Mus musculus: one gene and its partner. The protein of the gene in region 1 interacts with the protein of each later gene in a biochemical or structural test. Links are inferred from orthologs where the notes say so. Each region holds a gene or a part of one and is shown in the gene's direction. Other genes may lie near its edges.

Region 1 (4,299 bases):
GTGTGTGTTGAGGTGGGGGAGGGGCAGTGTCTGGTTCTTACCCAGGAAGCCCCATGCTGAAAGTGCCTGGCTACAGGAAGGCAGAGTCTGGGCTGGCAGATCCGTGAAAGGAGTCCTGAGGGACACCAGTAAGCGTTTACGGTCCCTCTCTTGAGCAGGCTCCCATTATATAGATATGGGAAGTGGACCCTGAGGACTAAGTAGGAGCAGAAACAGCAATCTCTAGTCTTCCAAAACTATTTCCTGGGAGTGTGTGTGTGTGTGTGTGTGTGTATGTACACTAAGTCAATAAATACTCTTAAAGGATGTGTGGACTGTGAGAGACAGAACATTAAGAAGTATATTTCCTGGGCTGACCTTATGCTGCCCAGGCTGGAAGCACCACTCTGAGCAGCAGGGGAAGTACTGCGCCTGGTCTGTGTCCATTCAGACATGAGCGAGTGCTTCTCTGCATCCTGATCCCCTAACCCTAACCCTAACCCTAACCCTAACCCTAACCCTGTCTTGGATGGAAGTAACTCGGGGTTCTGTCTACAGGAGTGCAAAGGCTCTTCGAACGTGGGCTACACAATCCCTGATGCCTGGTTTCTATGCTGTTGCTCATTCTAAAGGGCAGAGTCTCTGGTCCATCTTCCCTTCTGTCTGAGTCTCTATTAGGGAGCCAGACCCCCAGGCCTGCAGTGCCACGTGGCTGGCACATGGGGGGACCTGGAGGTTCTCTTGGTCTTTCTCATTGCTAAGCAGCGATCTGTGGGAGTGATGGCAGCCCTTTCCACTGAAAGATGTCTTCTTTGTTTGTCCCCAGTGGGTTCTTGATCCTTAAAAAAAAGATACCACTGGAATCTTATACTAGGCAGATTTCCCACAGCTCAGTCAATTGAAACACCTTTGAAATGGAAGGATGAATTCAGACGGGAGCTATTTTGCCATTATTTTCTGTCGGCAGAAGTTTTAAGGAGTTAGTTTTGTTTTCCGAAAGTGAAGTTCTTGAGAGGAGGGAAAATTTACCCGTTCCTTTCCCTTAAAGGAAAACTTTTTTTTTTCTTGGAGCGTAGATCCAGAGGGAGGAGGGGAAGCATGCAAAGGCAGGCCCTAGGGAGCTCTAACTGCCTTGTTAGCCGAGAACGGAGTGCCTGTGTGTGATTCTCAACAGTGGGTTGGATTTAGATAAATACTGTATATGCCCACAGTTAGGGAGACCCCAGTCTTCCCCTCTCCCTGGCTGACCGCTCTCCCGAGGACCATTACAAAGGTCACCCAAGCCACTCTTGCTGTAGATTTTTTAAGATGAGGATGAAGCGTGCGGAAGTGGAAGCCGTGTGGCAGAGGCTGTGAATGGAGGTTGAGAACGAGCTGGCTTCATCCCGGCCTCCTTTTAGAGCGGTGATTGATTAACGCTGCCTGTGTTGCTGTTCTTCCAGAGCCGACCTGTCCCGGACTCAGCATAACTAACGAAGCTGCTGCAGAATGAGAAGATGGCAGCGCGGCTGCTCGCACCACCAGGCCCCGACAGTTTCAAGCCTTTCACCCCCGAGTCGCTGGCAAACATCGAGAGGCGCATCGCCGAGAGCAAGCTCAAGAAACCACCCAAGGCGGATGGCAGCCACCGGGAGGACGATGAAGACAGCAAGCCCAAGCCAAACAGTGACCTGGAGGCGGGGAAGAGTTTGCCTTTCATCTACGGGGACATCCCGCAAGGCCTGGTTGCGGTTCCCCTGGAGGACTTTGACCCGTACTATTTGACGCAGAAAGTGAGTTGGAGGAGGCCCAACTGCAGAGGCCCCCTTCCCTTCAGGCTGGGGAGAGGGGAGACGGAGCTGTGTCTCTGCCCAAGCAGGGAGACCCGTGCTGTGTCAGGGAAGACATAGCGAGGCCTTGCTTCCACCTGGGGTCTTCTTTCCCCATTTTGTTGCTGGTGTGGGTCACTTTCAGGCCTTCCTACAGACCAACCCCTGTTAGCAAGACTTCCAGTCTTGCCTCCAGGCAAGCTTTAAAAACAAAACAACAAAACATATGTGTGGCAGGGTGGTGAGGATGTAGCTCAGTGACAGAGCACTTCCTAGCACATGAAGCCCCTGGGAATTTGAGGGGAAGACAGAGGAAAGGAAGGAAGGGAGTGTGGGCATAGTTGAAACACATCTACTTATTAGCATTCAGAAGGATAGATACTAAAGCTGTGCGGGATCTCCCTGACCCACACTAGTATCCCATCTCTGTATATAAAGGTGATATTGTTAGCACAGCAGCAGGCTGGAGATGGAATGGAGACCACGGTGTGCTGCTGTCTGTGCAGCCCTCCAATGTGACGCCGGAGCATGGCCTTGTGGGGCAGACACAGTGGCACACACCAGGCCCATAGCTTGGATGGATCTTTGTAGCAAAGCCAGTCCTGTCCCCCTGCCTGACAGGGGCACAGGTAAAAGGCTAAGCTTCAATCTGGCCCAGGGCTCAAACTTCCTGAACAGTGTCTACCCAAATCTTAGATTAGTGTATGAAATAAGACGAAAGAAGCCAAGCCTCTGGGTTTGATTCTCTCTGGCCAAGTGATTAGCTGCTGGATCCTTGAGGGCTGATGTCACCTTGTAGGAGACCCACCGCATGCCACAGATGTCATTTAAGTAACTGTGTCAGTGGGTTTTCCAGATAATGGGGGTGGCGAGAAGGTTGTGTGTAATTGTGTATTTACAATAGAAAGCTCCAGTACACGATCTTTGTTAACACGCCTGCCCGTTTTGAACTGGTGCAGTTAGTGCAATTTAAGAAAAGCTTTCAGCTCCTTTGTCTTGTAAGTGGAATAGAGCTAAGAGACCTACCTAGGATTAGTGAGAAGGCTCAGCAGGGAAAACTCTAGGTCTAAGGGCCTAAGTGTGGTCCCAGGGTCCCATGTGACGGGGGGTGGGGGGGGGGTCCCAGGGTCCCATGTGACGGGGGGGGGGGGGGAACCTGTGAGTTGTCTTCAGATTACCTGAGTGCCCTGGTATGCACACCCTCTCAATGGTGTGTGCAGACAGACATACATACATATGTACATACATACATAATGCATAAATACATAAATACACATGGCTACTCTAAGGCAAACAAATGAAGTCAAGAAAGCATTGCCAGCAGTTAAGATATGTTCACTGCACATCAATGTTTATCTGTCTACCTATAATCTGTCTAGCTACCTATAATCTATCAACCAATCAATTTATCTACCTACATATAATCTATCAATTTGTCTATCTACCTACCTACATATAATCTATCTCTATCTATAATCTGTCTACGTATCTATAATCTATCCATAATCTGTCTGTCTGTCTGGCCATCTACTTGGGACAGGGTCTTACATAGTAGCCCAACTTGGCCCCGAACTCACCATGTAATCACAAGAACTCCTAATCCTCCTGCCTCTACATCTTGAGTCTGGAGCTACAGATTATCACACCACATACTCTACACCAAGGCTTGAATGGAGGCTCTGAGCATGGCAGGCATGCACCCCTCCTTCTAAATGAGTTCTCCATCTGATTAAAAAGAACACGCTTTCTCGACCTACTTCAGGTGCTCACTGCATTTCTGTTACTGGCCCTTCTCACTAACCAACTAACTAAAAAGCTTGTGGGAGCGCGGGGTGGGGTGGGATGGGGTGGGGGAGTGACTTTAAGAGGATGTTCCTCTCTGTTTGTCTTTCAGGAGTTGTTGTGAGTAATTCCTGGGAGATAAGCTCTCATCTGGTAAATGATTGTCTTGTTTGGCCATCCTAAGCTTTGAGGGCCTTGTTGGATTCCCGTCTTTACCGGGGGGGGGGGGGGGGTCCCTACAAACAGCTCTGCCCCCTGCAAGCCTATATGCTGAAAGGTGCAAGCCACACCTCGCGCCCCTCCCTCTGGGCACTGGGTGCTAGTGCTTCCTCCCTTTGGCCTTCGTGGGTTTTTTTGTTTTGTTTTGTTTTTTCAGTTATTCAATACAAATAAGTACGTTTAAGGAACAGATACATAGTTTGACTTATCTCGTTTTAAAACCAGGTCGTATATTTACATGATCAAAATTTCAGAGGTATTTGGTTAAAAGCCCGCCTTTATCCCCTCTCCCACTCCTGCCTCCCTGCAGAGGTAACCTGATGGCGATGGCGGCATCCTCTGTGGCAGGAGCCTGACCACCTCAGACACCTGTTCTCAGCCTTCTTCCTGTTGTTTTCTTAGTTCTGTTGTCTGTCTTCCATTTTTGTTTATCGTGGAATCTTGTTGTTGTTATCATTGTTTAGGCTTTCAGGGTATGGCCATGCGTGTGCCCCCACATGCTGAGCTGTGG
Region 2 (3,821 bases), on another chromosome or scaffold:
GTTTACTTACATGATTTTTCTTGCTATCAATGTACAGAGAAGAGCATAAGAAATGTAGCCAATACCAAGTACAGGACTGTAGTGGACAGGGCATGTTAAGCAGATGAATGTGAGGATATATATATGTAAAATGTTCCTCTCAGAAGTATGGAATTTGGAAAGAATTGGAAAGGGGAAACATGATCAGAATTTCTTGTATGGAAAAAAACATCTAATTTCAATAATCAAAAACCAAAGCAAACAACAGCAACAACAATGGCAATTATTACTCAAGCAACTGTTAATCTTAATTTTCCACCTGATTGGATTGACTTATCTGGTGGGTTCTGACTCTGGTTATATCTATGAGATAATTTCCAGAAAGGATTAACTGCAGGGAAACATGTACTTTGAATGTAGGCCATATCATCCCATGGGCTGGGTGCTCTGACAGAACAAAAGAATGAAAAAGACAAATCAGAATTATGGGATTAATTAATTATGGAATTATGAAAATTTGAAATTACTTGTTATAGAAAAAGGCTTTGATAAATTATTTCTTTGCTGGTGAAATAAGCCAATTCAAGCCAGATTAGATTATATTAAATGCAGGTTGACTGGAAGCTGCTCTTGGGTGAGTTCACTGGCCCCAAGGACTAAGGCCAGAGGAATTGCCATGAGAAGGGAGAGAGATCAGAGGGGAAAAAGAAAGGGAGAATGAGCATGTGCAGAGAAGAGAAGGAGAAGAGAGAAATAGAGAGAAGGGGGTAATAAAATGACTAGATTTTACAGGGAAGCGCCTTTGGGGGACTAGGAAGTTCAGGGTTAGAGCCAGGTAGGGACTGAGAGATTCTAGGAGAACCTGGAGGCCATGTCTGCTTTGATATGTAAAACATACACCTCAGTCCCTTGTCCCAGGGTCCAAAACCAAGCAGGTATATATACAATACAGCCTTAATTATCACTTAGATATCTCTTTTTTACAATCAGCATTTTAAACACACCTGTCTTCTGACATGCTTGTTACAGAGATGTTATAATACTTCAATATTAGCTCACTTTCCAGAATGTTATTTGTGTCCAGTTCATCATCCCATCTCTGAAGTAAATGTGCTCAATGCAGCTGTGTGCATAAAATAATGGCTGAGCTTGATTTTTTTTTTCATTTCTTAAAAGCTAATCAAAATCCCAGAGCTATTCTGTTGGGGACAAATCTCTCTGTTTGGCCTGTTTGCTGTTTCTGTTTGCCTGTTGGCTAGTCTGTAGTTATTAAAGACTATATGCTAAATTGTTCACGGCATCCTGTAATTTGGACAGCACAAACAAATTTGCATGTTTTATTCAGCTGCTGTGGAGAGAAGCCTGTTGCCATGGTAAGAATGATGATGCCCCATATTAGATATGCTCCCAAAATGAGGATGGCCTTTGCAAAGCCACATGCAAATACTTATTTTATTAAACAGAGCTAGCTTCTAGGGAAACATTACTAGAATTACTAGGCATATACCTTTTCTCAGAGTCATTAAGTAGGAAGACCACAATACATAGCTTCCCCTTCTGTTCTAGTAAATGCCCACCTCCATTTACTTCCATGCCTGATGTTCAAAAATCAAATTATACATACATATATATGTATATATATACACATACACACACATATATACATATACATGTACATCATATACATCATAAATATGTATATATACATATATGTGATGTATATATTTTATACATACATACATACATACATACATACATACTTGGCTGTACTTTTCAGTTATATAAATGAAGAGCTTTCTTGTTTCATTTACACCTTAACTAGTAACTTGTCCTAGAGCTGACTCCTATGTTGATTAATGTATTGTTATGTTTTGTTGTTTTGTTTTGTTGTTTTGTTTTGTTGTTTTGTTTTGTTTCAGCAGTGCTGGGTGCTGCACATGCAAGGCACTCACTACAGCATTGAGCCAAGCCCAATCTTCTTTTGATCCTAGGCCTCACTTTGCGTTCAGAAGTGAAATGTCTGACTCTTGTATGTGTCATTAATAAACACCACAAGTTCTTCCATGCAAGCAGGAGGGGGTCGTTGTCCAAACTGGGAGTTTTAGTAAAATGTACACTGCATTTTAACATATTATTTTAAAGTACAGTTTTCTCACGCTTAAGGTTGTCAATTTAAGTAAAATGAAAATTAAAATCTTTAATAAAGTTTCTGAGTCACTTCTTTGAAAATCTGGAATTGCCACCCTGAATGAAAGGAATAATTTGAGGTTAAAATCATAATTAAACTAGTGATTTAATTAGTTTAACCATGTAATGAATAATGTAAACACACATTCTAGTTTCATGAAATGCCCTATTTTCTGAAGCTTATTATTATGCCTGCTTTAATTGTGGTGGTTTGTGTAGTCTGGATATCATGACCCAGACAAGTCTGGGAGCTAGAAATGTGCAGCCTCTACAAAATGTCTTCTTCTGAAAAAGAAACATCAAAAATTTTAAAAGAAGGGTAACAGCCAACTTTCCCCTCAGCCTTGTGAAGCTGATAACCCTTGTATTTGCCTTTCAGATCCCCAGCTCAAGGGCATAGTGACCAGGTTATATTGCAGGCAAGGCTACTACTTGCAGATGCACCCCGATGGAGCTCTCGATGGAACCAAGGATGACAGCACCAATTCCAGTAAGTGACAAACCAGGTCTGCTACTGAAATGGCTTCATGAGATGCATTTCTAAATGCTTGGTTCTGTTGGCTTTTCTAGTTGCCCACGAGAATGCATGCATCATTTCACTGAGACCACATTCATGAAGGTACTAATGTAGAAGGAGGCACTTTTGGTCTTAAACTGAGTTTGTTTTTTTCTCACAGACTGGTTATGTCCAGAACATCAGTATTCATCCCTGATTATAACAGTTAGGTACATTGGTGCATTAGTATAAAAGTTAATATCTTTTGCATAGAGGGTAATCTTCAGATTATTACTCTTGTATATATACACTATATAAAACATTTGATTATCTTATAAATAGGGTCTGTGTTCATTTAAAAAACAATGTACTTTTTGTAATGTTGTCTTCTATGTGCTATTTTTTTATGTTACAATTATTACATTTTTCACAGGATTTATCTGGGACCCTCCTTACTTAAACGTTTTCTCCTATGCTGGTCTCTAATTTCCTCTAATTGCACGTTAGTTTTAACACACACACACACACACACACACACACACACACACACACACCCCTTTTACTGCTGGGTTCAGAAAAATTACCAAAATGTGTTTTGATAGATTTAGTTGCAGGACTAGAGCCCTTATGTCATGAGCAATGATAACTGTCTAGTTATCATTCTCTTCACAATAGATTATAATCCATAAAAAGAAAGGAAAACCTGATTCATTTAATGGAATAATCAGCCCTTCCTGGGTTTTTTTTGTTTGTTTGTTTGGTTGGTTGGTTTTTTTTTTTTTTTGGTTTTTTTTTTTTTTTTTTTTTTTAGTTCTACTCATCAAGTTCTGAGGTATGGATTCTGAGATCAATTAATGACATGAAATCAGTTGTTTTACACATGATGTGTCTATGTGAAGTATTGATATTTTCCTATCTTTAAATCTGAAATGAGCTGAGATTTATGAATATTGTGTTTACATTGGTAATTTGTGGGACTTGCTTTACTCCATTCAAATAATATTATAGATACATTTTCTTGTTAATCTTCCTTTTCTTTTTCTAAATAATAAATCTTTCTATTGTGTCTTGCATTTTTTGCCTTAAAAATGATCTTTATATTATTTCCCATTTATTTATTTATTTATTTATTCATTTATATTTTCCTTTTTATTGGGAA

Evidence for each region.
Region 2: the proteins of Scn8a (region 1) and Fgf14 form a complex in vitro, tested with the Homo sapiens proteins (2 studies listed by BioGRID). The link is inferred for Mus musculus from reciprocal best matches to the Homo sapiens genes SCN8A and FGF14.

Annotation. Positions count from the first base shown.
Region 1 is NC_000081.6:100,934,850-100,939,148, forward strand, and holds the start of Scn8a (sodium channel protein type 8 subunit alpha), read left to right. Parts: upstream 1-1,421; 5' UTR 1,422-1,475; coding exon 1,476-1,751; intron 1,752-4,299. UniProt on the Homo sapiens protein: Pore-forming subunit of a voltage-gated sodium channel complex assuming opened or closed conformations in response to the voltage difference across membranes and through which sodium ions selectively pass along their electrochemical gradient.
Region 2 is NC_000080.6:124,135,017-124,138,837, reverse strand, and holds part of Fgf14 (fibroblast growth factor 14), read left to right. Parts: intron 1-2,545; coding exon 2,546-2,656; intron 2,657-3,821. UniProt on the Homo sapiens protein: Probably involved in nervous system development and function.